Callithrix jacchus: one gene and its partners. The protein of the gene in region 5 interacts with the protein of the main gene of each other region in a pairwise test. Links are inferred from orthologs where the notes say so. Each region holds a gene or a part of one and is shown on either strand. Other genes may lie near its edges.

Region 1 (3,500 bases), on a different chromosome or scaffold from region 5:
ACTTTGACCTAGCCATTTTACTTCCATTACTTATCCTACAGGCAAGTTCTATATAACTGACCAGCAATAAATAAATATAACAAGAATTTTCACTGTAGTTCTATATGTAATAGTGAAAAATGGTGAACAACCCAAAAATGTCTTAACTAGGGCACTGATGAAATATAATGTATCCATATACTGATGTTAAGCTATTAAAAAGAGTGAAGATAAGGCTGGACACAGTGGCTCACGCCTGTAATTCCAGTACTTTGGGAGGCCAAAGTGGGCAGATCACAGGGTCTGAAGGTCAAGCCAGCCTGACCAACATGGTGAAACCCCGTCTCTATTAAAAATACAAAAAAATTAGCCGGGTGTGGTGGCGGGTGCCTGCAATCCCAGCTACTCAGGGGGCTGAGACAGGAGAATCCACTGAACCCAGGAGGCAGAGGTTGCAGTGAACCAAGACCATGCCATTGCACTTCAGTGTGGACGACGAGAGTAAGACTCTGTCTCAAAAAAAAAAAAAAAGAAAGAAAAAAAAAAAGAGTGAAGATAGCTCCACACAAACGGATAGGGATACGCTATGTAAAGTGAAAAAAAAATAGGATATTAAATGGTACATGTATAATTTCATGCTAGAAACTAAAAAAAATCATGTAAGATTTTTACATATTAAAAGGAAAGTTAGGGCCGGGCGCGGTGGCTCACGCCTATAATCCCAGCACTTTGGGAGGCCGAGGCAGGTAGATCACAAGGTCAAGAAATCAAGACCATCCTGGTCAACAAGGTAAAACCCCGTCTCTACTAAAAATACAAAAATTAGCTGGGCATGGTGGTGCACGCCTGTAGTCCCAGCTACTCGGGAGGCTGAGGCAGGAGAATTGCTTGAACCCAGAAGGCAGAGGTTGCGGTTAGCCGAGATCATGCCATTGCACTCCAGTCTGGGTGACAATAGTGAAACTCAGTCTCAAAAAAAAAAAAAAAAAAAAATACAAAAAATAAAAGGAAAGTTAGAAGAATGTATGTAAATTTCCTGTGACCACAGACTGCCCTCACTATAAAGGCAGCAGAACGTTGGAAAGACCCAGGTTCCTGACTGACCAACCTCTGGAACAAGAGCTGCTTGTCAGGGCCAGACCTCCGTTTACTAGGGGACTGCCTTTCATTGAGAAATATTGATGCCAGTGAATTATGGATTCTCTTAGCACTTTATCCTTACCTAATACATTTCAAATGGTTACAAGTAGTGCTCTCTAATATAAGGCATTATTGAGAAATTGTATTTCTATGCCACAACCCTGCACTATTTTTAAAAATTATTTATTTATGTATTTATTTTGAGACAGAGTCTTGCTCTGTCACCCAGGCTGCAATCTCAGCTCACTGCAACCTCTACCTCCCAGATTCAAGTGATTCTCCTGCCTCAGCTTCCTAAGTAGCTGGGACTACAGGTCCCCACCACCATGCCCGGCTAATTTTTGTATTTTTAGTAGATACAGTGTTTCACCATATTGGCCAGGATGGTTTCGAACTCCTGACTTTGCGAACTGCCTGACTTGGGCTCCCAAAGTGCTGGGATTATAGGTGTAAGCCACTGTGCCTGGCCACTACTTCTTTTGAGACAGTGTCTTACTCTGTTGCTTGCCCATGCTGTAATGCAGTGATGCAATCTCGGCTCACTGCAACCTCAGCTTCCTGGGTGCAAGGGATTCTTGTGCCTCAGCCACCTGAGTAGCTGGATTATAGGCATGCACCAGCATAGTTGGCTAATTTTTGTATTTTTAGTAGAATGGGGTTGTGCCATGTTGGGCGGGTTGGTCTCAAACTCCTGGCCTCAAGTGATCCATGACTTTGGCCTCCCAAGGTGTTGAGATTATAGGTGTGAGTCGCCATGCCCAGCCTTGCTTTTTTACAGTATTCCACGTTAAAATTGTAGTGTTTTGGATAGTATAAATAAATATATTACTAAAATTAGTTTTAGTCGTTTCTTTTTAGTTTTTTAGAGTGGCCAGATTTTTAATTACTTATATGGACCACTAAGCCCAGCCCTAGCCTGCACTACTTTTTTTTTTTTGAGATGGAGTTTCGCTCGTTACCCAGGCTGGAGTGCAATGGCACGATCTCGGCTCACCGCAAGCTCCGCCTCCTGGGTTCAGGCAATTCTCCTGCCTCAGCCTCCATGCCTCCTTACAGGCACGAGCCACCATGCCCAGCTAATTTTTTTGTATTTTTAGTAGAGATGGGGTTTCACCATGTTGACCAGGATGGTCTCGATCTTTTGACCTCGTGATCCACCCGCCTCAGCCTCCCAAAGAGCTGGGATTACAGGCTTGAGCCACCGCGCTCTGCACTACTTTTTAAGAGGAAAGCCCACGAAAGAAAGACGAGGCAGAAGTCAAGGAAACCAGAGTCACCTGTTCAAGAGTGCCCAGCACCTACCTTAAGGGAGCGGTTGTGCCGCTGCAGCTCACGGCACAGGCTCTCAAGCTTGCTACGGGCCAGGACAGCCTTGCTGTGCTCACCACGCAGGTGGTCCTTCTCTTGTACCAGCTGGCTCTGCTTTTTCTGCAGGAGCTTCATCTGCTTCTGTGAGTTCCGGTGCTCCTCCAGCTGGGGACAGGGATAAGGAGGGCAGGTGAGCATCATGTGGGGCCTTCCTGGTGGGGATCACTACGGGGGTCTAGGGTCTCCTGAGCTGCTCTGCCCTGCACCCTCTCAGGCCATGAGTGCTGTCATGGGCTGATGCTGTGCTGGCACTTATATACTTCTCCCATGAACTGCTCACAATAACCCCAAAGGGTCAACCGTAGGGAGAGAGAAGGGCAAGCAGGGGCCACACAGCCAGCAAGTGCCAATTCCTATTACAGCTCTGACTCTGGGCCACTAGAGCCACTTCAGGCTGTTGCATTTCCCCAATTTGCTGAACACTCATGCCCAAGAATGAGACCACCTGCTACTCTACCTTGTGCCCATTAACAGACCCCCATTGCTCCCTCTCATTCCTTCAAAACGTTAGCACTGGGTTAGCACCAGCGCCTTTCCCAACATAATTACTTTTCTCATTTGTGGCCACTTCGGTATCAACAGACAATCCTTCTGACTCCCTGGCCTCACAGTTCTTCACCTCTTCCACAAACCCAGTCCTTTTCCCCCACTTCCATGAACCCTCCTGGCCACTACTTTTTTTTAAGACAGTGTTTCACTCTGTTGCCCATGCTGTAATGCAGTGGTGCAATCTCAGCTCACTGCAACCTCAGCTTCCTGGGTGCAAGGGATTCTCATGCCTCAGCCACCTGAGTAGCTGGATTATAGGCATGCACCAGCACACTTGGCTAATTTTTGTATTTTTAGTAGAATCCAGGCCTGTACAGCAGAAATATAATTAAACCATGTAAGTAATTAAAAATAGTCTACTGGCCACAATAAAAAAGTAAAAAGAAACGGTGAAATTAACTTTAGTTATATATATAACTAAAATTAAGCTAGGAGGAAAAGAAAAAAAATATATATATATATTT
Region 2 (4,149 bases), on a different chromosome or scaffold from region 5:
GCAAAGGACAATTTCTACCAGACAGTCCCCAAGAATAGACTGTTCTCATGCATTCCAAATGCTCAGTCTCCATGGAGGAGGCTACCTGGTCGCAAGCATTTCCCAAGCGGGAATATATCCTCTATTCCTCCTCACTGGTAACAACTCCCCCACTCCACCCCCACGCCCCAAACAAAACAAAACTTCTAACCATCTTGAGAACCTCAGGGGACTTTTCTGAGGTAAAGGACAAGAAACGTTAAGAGGGGAACAGGAAAGTGTGAGAAACTCCTCTTGTCTCCAAATGGAAAAAAGGCCTTAAAAAGCTGGATCAAAGGAAGAAAGGGGGATGGGGAAGAAGGGCTGCTTAATTACAAAGACACCCTTTTAAAGAAGGCGCAGGCCCTGGGAGAGGGCTCTTAGGAGAGGCACAGAAGCAGATGTACCCACTTAGAATTCTGGCACTCAATGGGACCTCAAGGTCATAGTATCCATCCCCCTGCCTTCTGATTAGGCTATTCTTAAAGCATTCTAGAGTCTGATGTGGTCTTTACAAAACCTCAGAGAAAGCAACTCTACAAATGTCCTAGTTGGGAATTAGTCTAATAAATCCAACTTCATAAACTGGAAATGAGATTTTAATTTCTAAATCCAAAATTGAATTGACTATTAATTATTAAAATTCCCTTTCTAAAATCTTTTAAATAGCTAAACAGATCCACAAATTTCATGTAAAAGTGACTCCACATACAACGAGGTTTACTTCACATCTACACCATGAAGGTAGAAAAAAACACTTTCAATTTTACAAAGCCACAAACTTTTCCAAAGAAAGAAGTAATTTAAAATGAAGTATGATGTCGTGCCAGAAAGTGTCTGTCGATGACACCGGATAAACCCATACAGAATAGCTGGAACCTGAGTTATCATCTGTAAATAGATGCAACTATTCTACAACCACCTGGCTGTTAAAGTGTCCCAGGCCAGTTATAAAATGTAGTTTGGCTAGGCCAGCTTTTCCCTCCCAGCTGATCTGAAACAGGATAGCCTTTAAAACTGTCGCCATGTAACGTTCCTTCTCTACCTTCCTACCTTCCTTTCCCTCATTAAAATCAACCAAAGCTATTTTTAAATGTATGTAAATAATGTGTTCCCAAATAAGCAATGAGTTCAGGACATCACAGAAATAAGTCTTTGAACACCACGACTTACAAGTTTGATGCACTTGTCCAATTGAAGATAGGTGGGAGATGGATGAAAATGTATCCCACATCCAAAATGGCATTTCAAACTATTCTTAGCTACTAAATGAGGGTGCTGAAAGGTCTGAGAAGGCTTCACAAAGGCTGGCCTGAGAAAGAACTTTTCACAAAGCCTAGCTCAAGGAGACTTAAATACCCTTAGCCCTTCATCATTGAAGATTATGGTGACTAATTATCTTCCTCTCTGAATGGGAGAAGAGGGTTATATTCATAAAAGTTTTAAACTGCCTCCCAACTTCCACGGAGGGAGGAGAACTGAACTAAACATCCTAGGTTGTTGAAAAATTCTTTCTAAAACATACGCTAGAGATTGAAAATGCTGTTTCTCACCAACTTCCTCTTTCCTTGCTCATTTAATCTTATTTAGTCACTTTATGAACATTATTATATTATTATTAGTGGAAATTTACCAGGAACTGCTCATAGTCTATTATAAAGGCGTATTTTTACTCCCACTTTTCTTTCTCTTGATTTTCACATATCCACGAAGTCCATCTTACTGTTGAAGCACCAACGTACAGTGGCCCAGGCTTGGACCCTCAAGACACCTGCCTGATCCCCCAAAACTATTTACTAACATCTTTGGATCTTCTAAAGTAGATAGGGGCAATTCCCTCCTCATGACCACTATCACCACCACCACAAGCACCACCACCACCACACATTTCAAAAAGTAGCCTTATGTTTTAGATTACGCAGACTTTAAAACTTCAAGAATTCACGGTCCTACCCCTCCTTCTCCCGCCTCAGGGAGTGTGAGTCCACACCCCAAGCCTAAGCACTTAGGAGAAACCTATCTAGTTATCTGAGATAAGCACTGACTTGCATGCTAGGCTAAAAGTAGATTTCAGCTTCCCTCGGGTCTTTAGCTCCTCAATGTGATTAATTTCCTAGAGACCCAGAAGAACCCCAGGAGGCAAGGAAGTAAAAATACCATCTAGTAGTGGTACCCACTAGCATCTCCTCACTTAAGCAGGACGGGAAAGCAGCGCACACTCTAACCGATTTAACTTGCTGCACATCCTGAAAAACTCATGGCCAGCTGCAAAGACAGCAGAATACACGGGCATTCTCACACGCGCCTAGATCGATTCACTCACGCCGAGGGCACGACCAAGTTCATGCCACCATGGATTCCTGCCCCAGTTCCCCGCAAAAAGTAACCACACGTCTCCTACCCCTGAAGGCAACGAAGACAAGGTGACGACTCTCTGCTCGCTCAAGTGGCTTCGGTCCCGGGCCAGCGGCCAGGGATGGGCAGGGGGGAAGCCCCAACTCCTGGCTGCTCCCCTCTTCGCTGCTCCGTCCGGGCTCTCCTTGGTGGCAGTGGACAGGCAGGATACCGGGCCAGAGGGTGGAGCAGCGGATGGTCGGAGGCGAGATTGACTGGAGGTGGTGGTAGTTGGAGGGGGAGGCGGAGAGAACTAAGAGAAGAGGAGGCGAAAGAGAGCGGAGACGGAGGAGTAATTCAGGGGGTCTACCAGTTTAGGCAGCCAGAAAGCTCCTCGGAAGGAAGGGGCGTGACTGCCAAGGCAGCTCCTGGGCAAAGGATGGGAGGTAGGGGAGGGGGACGAACGGGTGGCTTTTCTTCTTGCGGTGAGCGGCTAGGACCGCCCCGGAGCGGCAGGGCGGGTGGACTGGGGAGGAAGGCGGAGTAGAGGGCGGGGAAAGAAGGGCGGGAGCTTGCCTGGACCCTGGAAGTGAGGAGCGAGGAGAGCGCGGAAGAGAGGCGGGGCCGGGGGGCGGGGAAGTTTCAAACAATTAAACCGCGGGGTCCGAGAGCTCGGGCGAAAGTTGGGGACCCTCGCTCTCGCCTTTCCACTAGAGGGGCACGACTCGGTTGCCGTAGCCGTGAGAGTCTGCGCGGGGACTGGCTGGGGAGAAGGAAAGGGTTTTGCAAAAGACTACAATAATAACCTACGGCAACAGCGCGGCATACTCGCGTGGGAGAGCCAGTGCAGCTCTCCGCCCCACAGCGGGAGGAAGAAAAGCAAATAATAGAAATGCTGAAAAGCAGCTTCCACCAAAGCCTGCTTAAAATAATGAAGGAAGGAGCAGTGCTCCTTCGTTTTCCTTCCCCTCTCGCTTCCTATTACTAGCAGGCCCCCACCCAGGTCACAGCTCTGCGAGACACCCTCCTTTCTTCCTCCGCTCCCCCACCCCGGGAGTTTCCCCCGCCTCCCGATGGCGGGCTGCAGAAGCTGCGGGGCGAGGGAGGAGGGGGTCGTGGGCGGGGCTCTGCAGAGGCTCCGCCCCTGGGCGGGCTGTTAGATGCGGCCTGGGCGGAGCGGGCCCCTGAAGCGTAAGTCCCGCCCACCATTCTTTTGCCGCTACTGGTTGGCCGGGCCTGGCCTAGTATACGTTTGCGATTGGGCCCGGGAGTCGCCAGTCTGATCCTTTTGTCCCACCAGTCCTCAAAATTAATAAAACTAAACAAGAGGCTATTGTGTAGCTCTATGTTCTACCCCAGCTACCGCTGGGAAGAGAAAGATGAGACGCTTTCTCAGTCTCATAAAAGAGTGCAGCAGTGTGTCGGCCGACTCTGGTACGCCTTTATGTTTATAGCACTGTCCAGCCCTCCACGAATAGGTAACTTTTCTTTCCCCTTAATTCATTAAATCCGGAGGGGGAAAAGTACATGAAGTGCCAGTGTGGCGTTCACATTTCCTGGCTGTGGAAGAAAAAAACTGATATTGGTTAAAAACAGAGGGTTGAGAACAGTATACTGGGACACGGAAAATCTACCATTTTACATCTGGGAAAACGAAGGCACAAAGAAACAGTGTAGGGGTAGCAAAATAACATAGAATTGAGAACCAAAAGAAGAATTCATTTGGGGCTCTGGCACTTACTAGCTAATTGTATGACTAATGTTAGGTGGCTTAACTTCTCAGCCTTAATTTTTCTA
Region 3 (3,500 bases), on a different chromosome or scaffold from region 5:
GCACCTCACTGCTCGTGTCATCTATTAAGGTGGTGGCAATGGATTTGGACACCATTTTACCCAAGATCTTCTTTTGTGCCTGAACAGCCAGGTTTTTGGAATTAAAGACATCTGTGGCCACTAAAAAAAAAGGAGAGGAAAAGAATTAACAATCAGCAAACATCAGCAAGAGAAGTGAACTAAAAACACATATTAGGGAGTACTGTTTTTCCTCGTTTTCCCACCATTTGTGATTTGTCTTTCATCCATTGACATTAGTCTCTGTTCAGAAAAGAATTTTAGGCTGGGCACAGTGGCTCACGCCAGTAATCCCAACATTTTGGGAGGCTGAGCTGGGCGGATCACTTGAGGTCAGAAGTTTGAGACCAGCCTGGCCAACATGGGAGCAGTGGTACATGCCTATAATCCCAGCTACTTGGGAGGCTGAGGCAGAAGAATTGCTTGAACCCAGGAGGTGGAGGTTGCAGTGAGCTGAGTTTGCTCCACGGCACTTTAGCTTGGGTGACACAGCGACACTACTGTCTCAGAACAAAAAACAAATACAAAATCAGCTCTACACCTGTCATCTGGCAACAGCAACCAGAAGTGACTTAAAAGGAATTCATTTAAATGGAAGAATAAATGGTAAAGGCATAATATTGAATAAAATGGCAAATTCATGGAAGCAAATCAAAAGGAGAGCCCTGTTTTATAATGCAGTTGCAAAAAGTCAAATTTCTTAAGCATTGACCAACGCCCACCTATTTGTCCTAACCACCTTGAGTTTCAACCTACAGAATTTGACTGTTAGAAAGAAGTACTCCTTGGAGAGCTCACTGTCACTTACTATTTCTGATGAATGGTCATTGTTCACTTTACATTTTTATATGTTTTGGAGAAATAACCTTTTTCATCAGCTAGTGAAATGTGACACATGAGAAATATACTTTGAAAAAGATGTTGCTAAGAGTTTGCTTTTGGAATTATCGTAACTTCTGACAGATCTTTACAATATACACAATCATGTTTGTACGTATCATATAAAAGAGACACTATTTATAATCTTCCTAGCCTAGAGCTGGTTAGTGAAAATGCTCAATAAATGTGTATTCTCCAAACCAAGTTTACATTTTATCTACCACAATTTCCCCCACTCTATGCATGTAGCAATCTTTTTTGCTTTCTTCTTTTTTGAGATAGAGTTTTGCTCTTGTTCCCCCAGGCTGGAGTCCAATGGCACAACCTTGGCTCACTGCAACCTCCGCCTCCTGGGTTCGCTTGCCTCAGCCTCCCGAGTAGCTGGGATTTCAGGTGTGTACCACCATGCCCTGCTAATTTTGTATTTTTAGTAGAGATGAGGTTTCACCATGTTGGCCAGGCTGGTCTCGAACTCCTGACCTTGGGTGATCTGCCCACCTCAGCCTTCCAAAGTGCTGGGATTACAGGTATGAGCCACTGTGTCTGCCCCATGCAGCAATCTTTAAGCTAATCCTCTACAACTGTGCTCTCTCCTGCTTCTCCAAAGGCTTAAGAACTGCAGTTCTTTGGGTGTCTACTCCATCTCTGAGTCAAGGGACAACTGTTCTCTCCATATATGCCAGTGTTTAAGCCTAGGCCTGGGTGTTGGAAAGCAGTCATTTTGTAATGAAAGATAAAAAGCTTTAAAATACAGATATACACAAATAGGTCAAGGCATCAATGATAATATAAGATTATTTCTAGTTTGGATAGGCTAGTATCATTAGGAAGCAAAAAGGCAGCTGCTTCAAAATCCAGGCTGGGAGGACATATAAGAAGAGTGACTCCCTTAATGCGGAACTGCCATGTTGGATTTAACATTGGGGAAAGGTGAGGTGTGGTGGCTCACACCTACAATCCCAGCACTTTGGCAGGCCAAGGTAGTGAGAGGATCGCTTATGCCCAGGAGTTTGAGACCAGCATGGGCAACATAGCAAAACCCCATCGTGACAAAAAAACTACACACACACACACACAAAAATTAGCCAACTGTGGTGGCATGCACCTGTCGTCCCAGTTACTAGGGAGGTGTAGGTGGGAGAATCATCTGAGCCTGGAAAGTTCAGGCTGCAGCGACCCGTGACTACACCACTGCACTCTAGCCTGGGCAACAGGGTGAGACCCTGTCTCAGAAAAAATTGAATTAAATAAAATTGAGGAAAAGAAGAACCAAATTAAGTTTGAAAAATTTGGACCAAAGTAGTTCATGGTATATAGTATAGGTAGCTCAAAAGGGTTCCTTATGACCCGAGTGTCATTTATAAATGTACAGTGCCAGACATCCTCTAAAAGAATGTCTCAGTTAAATGAGAAAGGGTGTCTTCACAAATGTCGATATTTAAACTTCTGAAACATGAACTGAAACTGCAGAACTAAAATATATTTTGAAAAAGAGAAGGAAAGTGAAAATGTGTGAGAAACAGCCAACTTCATGCAGAAGTTTCCAGGCCCTTTTATGTTTTTATCATTTAAGCAGAAGTCCGTTTCTATTCCTGTTCTTCAACGACTTGCAAAAGAGTTTAAAGATTAAGTCACACTAAAGAATTTATGTCAAAAGAAATAGTACACATGTAGCTAACTTATCATATTAAAACCAGGGACCATCTTTCATCTCAGAACTCCTGACACAGACCTCAAAAAAAAAATTCAACAAACTTGATTTATATAGGGATACCCAATCAATTTCAGCTGCACAGCAAATAACTAGGATTTCAGTAATATATTCCATATAAAGTCGAAATGTTACTGTGTTTTTAATGTTTAAGAACATGGCATAGTCTACAAATATCTTACCTGGGATTTACTACAAGTCTATCAGTTGGACATACTTTATGTTGTGAAATACTGAAAACAGAGGGAGAGGTATTCATACTATTTCTCCTTTATCCAAGGCTGGACTTTCAAGTTTGCACCTCTTCTCAGCTAAGTTTCTGATTAAATCTCAATGTCTCATTTAACTTCAAATATGGAAAACAAAACCTCTATGATATAGCACTTCAAATTCCTGCAAGAGAGTGTGTAAAAGGCATATCTATTGCCAACTAAGCAAGATCATTCCCCATTTACTGGTAATCATGTATGAATCAAGATAGAGAAGTTGATCTCTGAGGCTTTCATATTTGTCTTAGAGAAACTTCAAATCCTGCTCCAGAAACACAGCAGCTCTGTCACACTTTCCTTTTATCCTTTGTATTATTCCAGTGAAGTCACCTTTTTAAGTGAGGTTGAAGCTCTTTGTCCCCCTCCACCATCTGAAGCTCTTCTCCTCCTCCACCAAGAACATGCATGAGTAGATTTATTTTCCAGCATTAGAGAAAGCTTTTCTGGAGCCAACCGGGACCTGTGGCTGAGAGTCACTGGCCAGGGATGTGTGGTCTGTGCTCATGAAGTGTGTTTCTTTTTCTTGCAAATTAACTGCTGTTAGCCATTCCTGTTCAGGCTCATTTGTCACTTCCACATACTCCACCAGATCCCTTAAAGGTCTGTTGTATCTTAGAGCTAGT
Region 4 (3,500 bases), on a different chromosome or scaffold from region 5:
ACAGATTCTGGAAAAGTCATAGAACTTTTTTAAAAGGAAAGGAAAAAAAAAGCCCATCAGGTAAAGGCAGCCTGGTGACTATAATCCTGGGGGAGACTCCCCCTCCCACCCTGCTACTCCCTCCAGACTCACCCGAGGGCTGCAGCTTCCTCCGGATGGAGCCAGGGCGGCTACTGGTCCCGGAGCTGGGGGCTGAGTGGGCCCGTGCCGAGGGCTGTGGTATCTGACTAGCCGGCTCCCACTGTGGACAGGGAAGGGAGGGTAGGTGGGGGCCACAGCTGCCCTGGCCCGCACCCCGCTGTGCTGCTCTCTCCTCCCCTGCCCTGCCTCCTAACCTCCGAACACTCAGCTTCCTCATCTGCAAAATGGGCAGGATGCTCGTGCCCCAGCCTCATGTTATGTCAAGAATTAAATGAGATAGTACATGTAAAGAAGTCAACTAGTTACCACTTAGCACCTAGTGCCACGCCCATGGCCAGCTGGTCACCCCACAGGAGCCCTGGAGGCCAAGAATAAATACCTGCACTGAAGAGGCTTCTGGCTGTGGGTTCCAGCTGTAGCTCCACCCACCTCCGGCAGCTTCACCCCGCCCCACCCTGCTGCTCTGGGATGTTTCCGCCCAGCTCCCTGCTCCTGCCATGATCCAAAGTCTCTGACCCAGGGCTACCTGAGCCAGGTCTCTGGCAGTCCCCGTACCTCTAGATGCTCCTGGCTTGACCAGGACCCAAGCTCTGCCCTGCGTAGCCCGGGCCCCAGCTCCACAGAGCGCACCCGCTCAGCAAACTTGAGGGAATAGAGTGTCTCACTGGTGTTCTTCTCCACTGGGGACACCTAGAGGACACAAGAGCTCACTGCCCACCTGGGCCAGCTGGAGGGGCAGCAGGGTCACAAGGGAGCTCACAGCTGGAGACGTCAGAAGGCCTCCTGGAGAGGACCGAGGGACAGGGTAGGAGGGCAGGCAAGGTGGCAGAGGTGGCGTGGTCAAAGGTGGAGAGGAGGGACTGGGAGTTACACCAGGTGTGTGTGGCCAGGTCTGGGGCAGGGGGGCTGTTGCTGACTCTGGAGCTGCTGAGACAAGGGTCCTTCACAGCCTGGGGTGCCTGGGTCTTGCTGCTAGCTAAGTACCTACACGCCAGGGACTGCTCCCTTCTAACCCAAGGCCCTCACCTGTACCACCATGAGGGTCTTGCTGTCACCACTAAGCGAATCCTGCAGCAGGTAAGTGAGCTTGGAGTTGCGGAAGGGCACATGGCCCTGGCGGGAGCGCAGGGCAGCAATGACGTCCCCCAGAGCTGACAGTGACTTGTTGATGTGCTGCGCCTCCCGCAGACGGCTGCCTTCGGCTCCGGACTTGCCCACACGCTCGGACCCAGCCAAGTCCACTAGGTTCAACTTCCCTGCAGGGAAGGCACCAAGCAGATCAGACCTGCCCTGTCCCTGGGGGCATGGGGCTCCTCAGGCCAGGCTGCCCGCCCCCTCACCCGTGGTACGGAGGCCTGTGCTGCAGTCCACGCCTCGCACCGTCACGATGAGCAGCGCGTGCGAGCGGGAGCTGTGCTCATTCAGGTTGGTGAACTCCGTTGTGCGGTTGGTGTGGCCAAACTCAAACACCTGGGGGATGGGGAGTGGGAGGGTGAGGCACGGCGCTGAGAATGTGGTCCTCAGTCACCTGGCCCCGAGCACCCCAGAGGAGTGACACCCCCACCCCCGCAGTTTAGACGAGGAAACAGGCTCAGAGGGGCATGGGCACTTGCCCGAGGGTGCATGCTTAGGACACAGCAGAGCCTACATTCAAATCCAGGTCTTCCCTCTAGAGCAGCGTGGCTGTGGCCAGGGGCCCGCTCCTCCACACCTTGTTGATGTCGTCCACGCTCTGCACCTGGAACTCAGTCAGCCCTGGCACATACAGCTGCCCACTGCCGTCTGGGCACAGCCGGATCTCCAGTTTTTCCTGAGGCTCTTTCCCCAGCAGGTCCCTGGAGGGGCAGGTGAGACAGTCACCCCCTCCTCCCATTTCTGGCTGCTGCTTGTACTGCACCCAGAGCCCCAGTCAGGAGTGTTCCCCCAACCTACAAAGCCTTCTTCAGCCATCAGCTAAGCGCATATCCTCCAGCTCCTCCCCCATAACTCAGCTGAACATGTGGAGACCTCACTGTTGCCCAGAAGGCCTGTGGATGGCGCTACTCCTGCCTCCGAAATGCAATGAGCCCCTGCGGGCAGGGCCTGCAGCTGCCCACTCCCACCCATGGCCACCTGCTGCAGCCCACAGGGAGGAGAGTCACAACTTGCAGCTAGGTCCCTTGGCAGCCTCATCTGGTCCCTGCACTCCCTTCAGGAAGACCCCACTTCCTATCTCCCGTTACTCCAGCACCACCCCACCTGAGGACCCCAAAGCTGCCCCTGAGGCCTACTCCCCTCACACTGGGGCTCCTACCTGAGGACCTCGTTGTAGATCTCGGCGGCGCTGACAGTGATGGTGTACTCCCAGTCGGATGCCTTCTCCTGCACCTCGGAGAAGAGCAGCTGCAGGGCCCGCTGGTTGATACCTGGGTTCTCTGGGGTCCCCTGGGGGCAGAAGGAAAGGCCCCAGTGAGCCAGGCCTGTCCCCAAAGATGCTTGTGTGGCATCTGTCCCCCAAGCCCTTTGGCTATCCCTCACAGGCAAGTCTCCTTGCCCAAACCTCCTACCTACAAGCCAGTGCCCCCCAAAATGCCCTCTGCCAGCTGCAGGCTATTGTGCCTCTATTTCCCCGACATTAAAATGGCATCACCCTGCCAGGACTGCCCTGAGACTTAGGGTACAGCGCTGGGGTGAGGGACCTGGCCAGACCACACAGACAGCTGAGGGACAGGTGCATGCCTGGCCCTGCAGGGCCACCTAGAAGGGGCACTAGAAATGAATGATCCCGCCTCTGCCCAGAAAGGGGCTGAGTCTCAGGGAGGCTGTGACCTGGGTTCTGTGGGTGATGGAAAGGAGGCACAGGTGGAGCAGGACAGGGTCCTGGGGCAGGAGGGGTGGGCTGGCCTTTCTAGAAGGAAACCTGGAGTCCCCACCTGGGCCCTCAAGGCCCTGGGAGTTGGACCCTCGCCCCTCCTCCGACAGCACCTCCCACCCTCTCTCTATTCCTGCCGCAGGGGCCTCCTGGCCAAGCCTCAGGTGCGGCTGGTGTGCTCTGGCCTCTTGGCCTTGGCCCTGCAGCTCCCTCTGCCCCAGGTGCTCCTGTTTGCCCCTCGGCCAGCTCAGTCATCTCCCTCAGGGAGGCTGCTCCCAAGATGCCCCCTCAGGGAGGCTGTTCCTTCGTCCAGCACCCCCAAACACCCCGTCCCTTCCCCTTGTCAGTTCCACATCCCTGGTTTTATTTTTCTCCATGGCCTGACGGGACACTCACTGATTTGTGTGGACCCTGCTGTCTCCCCATAGCCAGGTTGGTCCTGTGGGGCCAGGGACTGTTTGGGTCACAGCCATGCCTGGCACAGTGCCTGGTACACTTCAGGCCTCAG
Region 5 (3,500 bases):
TGTACTTTAAAAAAAATCATCAATTTATTATTTCAAAAGAGGAAAGAAACGCAGTGCCTAGCAACAATGGCTTTGTAGGAAACCAAATTTATAAAACCCATGGCCTCTATCATTACTTACAAACCATTAAAAATGTGAAAATATGTAGCAGAGATTTCAAAGCATAAATACATTCTATATTAAATCTATTTCTGTACACAGTCACCTAAGAATTTTCAAAACCACATATATCTAGCATAAAAGAGAAGTATGTTTACCTGGAACCCAGGTTAGGGGAGCACATACAGCATTACTTGCACTGATCCTATGTGCATACTTAATTATTTCTTCAGAGGAAATAGCACCTGAAAGAGTTAAGAGGATAGTATAACCTGTAATCTAACATACAAGTTTAGAAGTATGTATATCAGTTACACATCATATTTACTTTTAAATTATCTGAAAATAAAATAATCTCAGTCACCCGCCTTCCTTAACAATACCTACATATTTAGTATAAACTTAAATCTCCAAAAACAAGATACTAATGCAGAAAAATCAGCTGACATAAACAGTTCTGGGAGATTAGCATGACAGCACTCAATAATCTCAAAATACTATTACTCTTCTGAAAGCAACAGTAAGCACAAATAAAAGAGAAAACAGCGTTTCACTTTGAAATGACATCCAAGCTATGAAATCAGAGCAGACAGTTCACACCACTGTTTGATTAATATGCCGTGAGGCTCTTAAACAGACCTGAGTAGAAAGATGTCTACAATGTCTTCATTAGGTAAAAAAAAAACTATATGGCTAAATAATATGTATGGTATTACCTGACTGTTTAAAATATATGTAAATATGTGTATTTGTATTTTTACTACATACATACTCACAGATCTAGAAGAAAAATCTAGAAGGACATATACCAAACATTAATAGTAGTTACCACCGAGAAGTGAGAACACCACACTTTTTATTTTACAAATTTTAGATACTGTTTCAAAGTAACAAAGTGTATGTGTGTAAAATTTTTGAAGATTAAAAACAAAATCAAACTATGATTTAGAATTCAATAGCCAGCCTCAGTCATCTCTCCTAGAGATTTGTTTCTTGCTACAGAAGCCTAACTTAACTCTTAAGAGAATATTAGCTATTTTTCACATGTAACAATCAAAACATGGGCTCCCTAAAAAGAGGAAAGTTAGACAATAAATCTGAGATGACTAAATGTAAAACCATATCTACAAGTCATTAAAGGCAAGTAACCAAAGTTGTAATTACAATTCTGACCTTTAGTACGACAAACTAACAGGTCAAGTGAGATCCGTAACAGGAGCCTTTGACAGAGGGACAGTAGCGCAGGAAGGCTTGTGGGCCTCTGCACCACTAAATGTACTTACATGCCAAGGTTGTAACTGGCTCTGACTTCATGATGTTTCAGTCCCAGCTCAGTTGTCCAATGGATGTCCTTTCACTCTCTGCCCTAGCCTTCAAGATCTGGTACAAATCCCACTTACAGCCCATATTTCTCTTCCCCTGTCCCACCAATTTTATAAACTTACTGTTTTTACGGCACATTCCGGCCCACAGCAAAAAACTGCCTTGTATTAACTGCTTTTTATAATCTAAAAAAGGATGTCATATTTCTACCTCCCTCACAACACCTACCACAATACGAGAACATAACACACTTTACAAGAAAAATTTATTCAATTTTTTTCAACAGCAGCAAATGATTATCAGTTATATCCTCTCGTATTGGTTTCTTGAAACTAGAACCTTAACTTTTCAGGTAATTCCATCTTCCCATAATACTAACCTTTTCTTGCTTTTTCTATTGACTTGAGTTTCTCCTTTGCTTGGTAAACAGCTGTTGCCTAATTGAAACAACATTTAAAAAAATGTGTTTTATTCTTAACTATATCAAACATAGTTTTTGGCTTAATTCACAAGATCATTTATCCCCTAAGAACAGTCTTCAAAACTTGGAAATTCCCACAATTTATTTGTAATGTTCTATAATATCACTTGACATTATTTATTTCAGTCATATATAATGAAAGAACTATTAATTTATGAACTAGTCTCCCATTCACAAATTAGCTGTAGAAACAAAATATAAATTGTTTACTTTTTCTTCATGTCTTCATAAACATACAGAAGACATCCAGACCATGCAAGACCCCAAAAGCATCCTATTCTTGCAACTAGTTCAAGAATAAAATACCTTTTTTACCCCTAGTTTGGAAGATACAACCTTGGATTCATATTCTTATTCATTTAAATGTCACCTCAATGTTTAATGACTTTATCACAAAAACACCCCCTCTAACCCCCCAGGTACATACACTAAAGGACAAAATGAAGTTAACCTAGTGTATGCATATCCTCGACTATGACACAATGGTTAAGGGTATGGAGTCAGGCCAGGCACAATGGCTCACACCTGTAATCACAGCAGTTTGGGAAACTGAGGCAGGCAGATCATTTGAGGTCAGGAGTTCAAGACCAGCCTGACCAACAGGTAAAACAGCTCTACTAAAAATCCAAAAAAAAAAATTAGCCAGGTGTGGTGGCACACACCTGTACTCTCAACTACTCAGGAGTCTGAGGCAGAAGAACTGCTTGAACCCAGAGGGCAGAGGTTGCAGTGAGCCAAGAATGTGCCATTGTACTCCAGCCTGGGCAACAGAGCAAGACTCTGTCTCAAAAAAAAGAGTATGGTGTCAGAGAGATCAAGGTTTAAATTCAATCTACGTTTTAGCCTTCATGGGCAAGTTAGTTATTAAAGTCTTGGTTTCTTCCTCTAAATAACAACACTGACTTTACATAAACTATTATGAAGATGGAAGTAAAGCATATAAAATGCAAGACACAGGGCCTGGTGCCTAAGCGCTCAATCAATGTTCGTTACTACAATTTAAATCATGAAATTCAATTTTATGATCCTGTGTTCACTGTCTTTAATTCTTTCTTTATAACACAAAGTTGGAAAATTAAACAAAGCAGATACTATTATATGAAAAATGCTTAAGTTTCAATAAACAGTAACTGAAAATCTGTTAGTATCCTTAACTACAATAAGCTAAAAAATGAATACACCAGCAACTCAAAGGAAATAGACCAAACTATGAATAGTGGCATTCTTTAAGCAGCTGAACTAAAGGCAATTGTTTCCCCTCCTCTTTCCATTATTCCGTATTTTCTAAATTTCTTTTGATGAGCAAGTATTACTTTCATAAGGAAAAACATTTTAATATATATATTATTAAATGTATAAATATATATATATTTTGAGACAGAGTCGCACTCTGTCACCCAGACTGGGGTGTAGTGGCACAATCCTGGTTCATCGAAACCTCCGCCTCCCAGGTTCAAGAGATTATCCTGCCTCAGCCTCCTGAGTAGCTGGGATTATAGGCGTGAGCCACCATGCCCAGCTAATTATTTTGTATTTTTAGTAGAGATGGATTTCACCATGTTGGCCAAGCTAGTATCAAACTCCTGACCTCAAGTGA
Region 6 (4,135 bases), on a different chromosome or scaffold from region 5:
TCTCCTGCCTCAGCTTTCTGAGTAGCTGGGATTACAGGCGCCCACCACCATGCCCAACTAATTTTTATATTTGTAGTTGAGACAGGGTTTCACCATGTTGGTCAGGCTGGTCTTGAACACCTGATCTAGTGATCTGCCCACCATGGCCTCCCAAAGCGCTGCAATTTCAAGCATGAGCCACCATGACTGGCCACGAATAATAATAATAATAATAATTATTATTATTATTATTTTTGAGATGGAGTTTTGCTCTTGTTACCCAGGCAGTGGCGCAATCTTGGTTCACTGCAACCTCCGCCTCCTGGGTTCAGGCAATTCTCCTGCCTCAGCCTCCTGAGTAGCTGGGATTACAGGCACGCACCACCATGCCCAGCTAATTTTTTATATTTTTAGTAGAGACAGGGTTTCACCATGTTGACCAGGATTGTCTTTTTTTTTTTTTTTTTTTGAGACGGAGTTTCGCTGTTGTTACCCAGGCTGGAGTGCAATGGCACGATCTCGGCTCACCGAAACCTCCGCCTTCTGGGTTCAAGCAATGCTCCTGCCTCAGCCTCCCAAGTAGCTGGGACTACAGGGGCGCACCACCATGCCCAGCTGATTTTTGTATTTTTAGTAGAGACGGGGTTTCACCTTGTTGACCAGGATGGTCTCGATCTCTTGACCTCGTGATCTACCCGCCTCAGCCTCCCAAAGTGCTGGGATTATAGGCGTGAGCCACCATGCCCAGCCTGAATTATTTTTTTTTTAAGATGGAGTCTCACTCTGTTGCCCAGCCTGGAGTGCAGTGGCGCGATCTCAGCTCACTGCAACCTCCGCCTCTTGGGTTCAAGCGACTCTACTGCCTCAGCCTCCAGAGTAGCTGGGATTACGGGCACCCACGACCATGCCCGGCTAATTTTTGTATTTCTAGTAGAGACGGGGTTTCTCCACGTTGGCCAGGTCTCAAACTCCTGACCTCAGGTGATCCGCGTGACTTGGCCTCCCAAAGTGCTGGGATTACAGGCGTGAGCCACCGTGAGTGGCCCTGGGCAGGGAATTCTGGGGGCTTAGACTTCATGGTCTTGGGAAGGTGTGAGCGGGGCAGAGAGTTGGCAAGAGCTGTGTGTTCTGGGACTGGCATCCCAGGGTGAGACTGGGGGGCTGGGAATTCAGGGAAGAGGCTGGATAGAGGGGTGGAGGAACTGCGGGGGGAGACCTGGGCCTGAGACGGAGAGTGCAGAGTAAACTGGAGTGTGACAGGCACTGGGGAAGGCCTGGGGGTGAGAGACAGAAGGTTCTGGAAATGGGGTCTTTTGGGGCGGCAGCTCACACTTGTAATCCCGACACTTTTGGAGGCCCAAGTGAGCAGATCACTTGAGATCAGAAGTTCAAGGCCAGCCTGGCCAACACAGTGAGACCCTGTCTTTATTTAGCCTGCGTGGTGGCGCATGCCTGTAATCCCAGGTACTCGGGAAGCTGAACTCGGAAGGCAGAGGTTGCTGTGAGCGGAGATCGCACAACTGCACTGCAGCCTGGGCAACAGAGCATGACTCAAAAACACAGAAAGAGAGAAAGAGACAAAGAGAGAAAAAGAGAAAGAAAGAAAAAAGAAGGAAAGAAAGGAAGGAAGGAGGAAGAAAGAAGGAAAGAAATAAGACAAAGAAAGAAAGAAAAGAAAGAAAAAAGAAGGAAAGAAAGAGGAAGGAAAAAAGGAAGGAAGGAGAAAGAAATAAAAGAAAAAGAAATAAGCCGGGCGTGGTGGCTCCAAATACAAAAAATTAGCTGGGCATAGTGGCGCGTGCCTGTAATCCCAGCTACTCAGGAGGCTGAGGCAGGAGAATTGCCTGAACCCAGGAGGCGGAGGTTGCAGTGAGCCGAGATTGCACCATTGCACTCCAGCCTGGGTGACAAGAGCGAAACTCCGTCTCAAAAAAAAAAAAAAAAGAAGGAAAGAAAGTCAGTCAGGCTGAGGGCAGTAGGGAGCCATGACAAGTGAGTGAGCAGAGGAGGTGCACCAGACCTGTAGGGGCCAAAGATGCATCTGGACTGGACTGAAGGGCATAGACCAAGTGGGTCTTACCTGCTTTCTAGGCTTCGGCCACTGACCTCCTCAATGGGGCCCAGGTGCTCTGGCCCAGAGCTCCCCAGAGGTGGGGTAAGGCTAGGCTTGGAGCTCCCACCGGCTGCTTCACCCTCCTCTGAACTCTCAGCCACAGGGTCCAGTTCACCCTGCAAAGGACCCCCGGGGCCCAGCTCTGAGCGAGGCAGGACAGGACCTTGGCATCCCAAGGAGCTGGGTGTGGAGGGGAGAGGGGACACTTACGGGTGGAACATGCCTCCCTCGCCGGCTTCGGGGCCGCGTGGCCCGGGCACTCATTGCTGTCCAGAAGCCAGTGCCCTCTGAATGCTTCTCCTTCGTCGCCCCCTAAAACCACAACCTGCTGTGAGCTCTTGCCTTCGTCATCCAGGACAAAGGACAACCTCAATTTCCTCTGCAGTGAAATGGGGCATTGACTACCCCTCTAGAAGGGATTTTGGAATCAAGGTTGATTGGGCACATTTGAATGCCTCCCTGGACAGGCAGCTCACTACCTAACAAGGCTGTCCTGACCTCCCCCTTCTCTGCCTTCTTGACCCTCACTACCTCTTTGTCCCCTTCCCTCTTCTGTTTGTGCCTGAGAAGGAAACCTCAAGAATTCCCTCTTTTCCCCAGGCCCTCCTAAATGAGGGGTTCAGCTCTCTCTACCTCTCTGATCCTCTGGGGTTAACTTGATCAGAGGCCTGAGTCCCTGGATACTCTCTTGGGGTCACTTTGGCCACTGCCTGTTCAGGCCTGGGCTGGCCAAGCTTGGCCTAGGAGGGGCCAGGAAACAGGAAACTCCCTCCCCTGGTCACATGACTTGTTATTGTGTTGTTTCCTTTCTGAGGATAGTGGTTTCCTGCAGCCCTAGCGGGGCACGCACACCTGACTCCCAAGGTTTCAGCCCCCCTCATCTCAGCCTCCAAGCCCATGGCCCTTCCATCTCTCTCTTTTTTTTTTTTTTTTTTGAGACAGGGTCTCGCTTTATCTCCCAGGCTGAAGTACAGTGGTGTGATCTTGGCTCACTGCCACTTCTGCCTCCCAGGTTCAAGCCATTCTCCTGCCTCAGCCTCCCAAGTAAATGGAATTACAGGCACCCGCCACCACACACAGCTGATTTTGTATTTTTAATAGAGGGGGGGCGGTTCCTCTGTGTTGGTCAGGCTGGTCTCGAACTCCTGACCTCAGGTGATCTGCCAACCTCAGCCTCCCAAAGTGCTGGGATTACAGGTGTGAGCCACTGTGCCCGGCCCACCTCTGACTCTTGGATTTTATTTCTCAAGAGCTAGGGTGGGTCAAGCACCAAGGCTCACACCTGTAATCCCAGCACTCTGGAAAGCTGAGGCGGTCGATCACTCGAGCCCAAGTGTTTGAGATCAGCTTCAGCAACATGGCGAGACCCCTGTCTCTACAAAAATTACAAAAATTTGCCAGGAGTAGTGGCGTGCAGTAATAGCCTGTAGTTCCAGCTATTTGGGAGGCTGAGGCAGGAGGATGGCTTAACACCTGGAGGCGGAGGCTGCAGTGAGCCGTGGTCACGCCACTTCACTCCAGTCTGGGTAAAAAGGCTGGGCGCGGTGGCTCAAGCCTGTAATCCCAGCACTTTGGGAGGCCGAAGCGGGTGGATCACGAGGTCAAGAGATCGAGACCATCCTGGTCAACATGGTGAAACCCCGTCTCTACTAAAAATACAAAAAATTAGCTGGGCATGGTGGCGCGTGCCTGTAATCCCAGCTACTCAGGAGGCTGAGGCAGGAGAATTGCCTGAACCCAGGGGGCGGAGGTTGTGGTGAGCCGAGATGGCGCCATTGCACTCCAGCCTGGGTAACAAGAGCGAAACTTCGTCTCAAAAAAAAAAAAAAAGAAAAGAAAAGAAATAGTCTCCCAGCAAGGCAGTTTACGTCTACAGAAGGGTGTGGCTCACGGATGGAGCAATGGTGGCCGCACACTTGGACAAGGGGAGAAAGGGTGCCTGTGCCTGATGGGGGTCGCCCCTACTGCTGTGTCGTTCCGCTCTTGGCTAGGGTTAGACCGTGCAAGCTAACTAAATCCCGATTGGCTATTTTAAAGAGAGCA

The links.
Region 1: the proteins of MED4 (region 5) and TXLNA interact in binary tests that used the Homo sapiens proteins (3 or more experiments, as listed by UniProt). The two-hybrid records come from large-scale screens. The link is inferred for Callithrix jacchus from reciprocal best matches to the Homo sapiens genes MED4 and TXLNA.
Region 2: the proteins of MED4 (region 5) and AMOT interact in binary tests that used the Homo sapiens proteins (3 or more experiments, as listed by UniProt). The two-hybrid records come from large-scale screens. The link is inferred for Callithrix jacchus from reciprocal best matches to the Homo sapiens genes MED4 and AMOT.
Region 3: the proteins of MED4 (region 5) and TNFAIP8 interact in binary tests that used the Homo sapiens proteins (3 or more experiments, as listed by UniProt). The two-hybrid records come from large-scale screens. The link is inferred for Callithrix jacchus from reciprocal best matches to the Homo sapiens genes MED4 and TNFAIP8.
Region 4: the proteins of MED4 (region 5) and KIFC3 interact in binary tests that used the Homo sapiens proteins (3 or more experiments, as listed by UniProt). The two-hybrid records come from large-scale screens. The link is inferred for Callithrix jacchus from reciprocal best matches to the Homo sapiens genes MED4 and KIFC3.
Region 6: the proteins of MED4 (region 5) and USHBP1 interact in binary tests that used the Homo sapiens proteins (3 or more experiments, as listed by UniProt). The two-hybrid records come from large-scale screens. The link is inferred for Callithrix jacchus from reciprocal best matches to the Homo sapiens genes MED4 and USHBP1.

Annotation. Positions count from the first base shown.
Region 1 is NC_133508.1:68,792,915-68,796,414, reverse strand, and holds part of TXLNA (alpha-taxilin), read right to left. Parts: intron 2,593-3,500; coding exon 2,422-2,592; intron 1-2,421. UniProt on the Homo sapiens protein: May be involved in intracellular vesicle traffic and potentially in calcium-dependent exocytosis in neuroendocrine cells.
Region 2 is NC_133524.1:109,163,941-109,168,089, forward strand, and holds the start of AMOT (angiomotin), read right to left. Parts: upstream 2,801-4,149; 5' UTR 2,420-2,800; intron 1,321-2,419; exon of another isoform or gene 1,192-1,320; intron 1-1,191.
Region 3 is NC_133503.1:90,197,064-90,200,563, forward strand, and holds part of TNFAIP8 (tumor necrosis factor alpha-induced protein 8), read right to left. Parts: intron 121-3,500; coding exon 1-120. UniProt on the Homo sapiens protein: Acts as a negative mediator of apoptosis and may play a role in tumor progression.
Region 4 is NC_133521.1:15,646,606-15,650,105, forward strand, and holds part of KIFC3 (kinesin-like protein KIFC3), read right to left. Parts: intron 2,566-3,500; coding exon 2,435-2,565; intron 1,977-2,434; coding exon 1,853-1,976; intron 1,612-1,852; coding exon 1,482-1,611; intron 1,398-1,481; coding exon 1,168-1,397; intron 832-1,167; coding exon 697-831; intron 242-696; coding exon 133-241; coding exon of another isoform or gene 17-132; exon of another isoform or gene 1-16. UniProt on the Homo sapiens protein: Minus-end microtubule-dependent motor protein. Involved in apically targeted transport. Required for zonula adherens maintenance.
Region 5 is NC_133502.1:67,854,617-67,858,116, reverse strand, and holds part of MED4 (mediator of RNA polymerase II transcription subunit 4), read right to left. Parts: intron 1,860-3,500; coding exon 1,802-1,859; intron 345-1,801; coding exon 258-344; intron 1-257. UniProt on the Homo sapiens protein: Component of the Mediator complex, a coactivator involved in the regulated transcription of nearly all RNA polymerase II-dependent genes.
Region 6 is NC_133523.1:15,865,003-15,869,137, forward strand, and holds the start of USHBP1 (harmonin-binding protein USHBP1), read right to left. Parts: upstream 2,801-4,135; 5' UTR 2,726-2,800; intron 2,405-2,725; 5' UTR 2,357-2,404; coding exon 2,303-2,356; intron 2,209-2,302; coding exon 2,060-2,208; intron 1-2,059.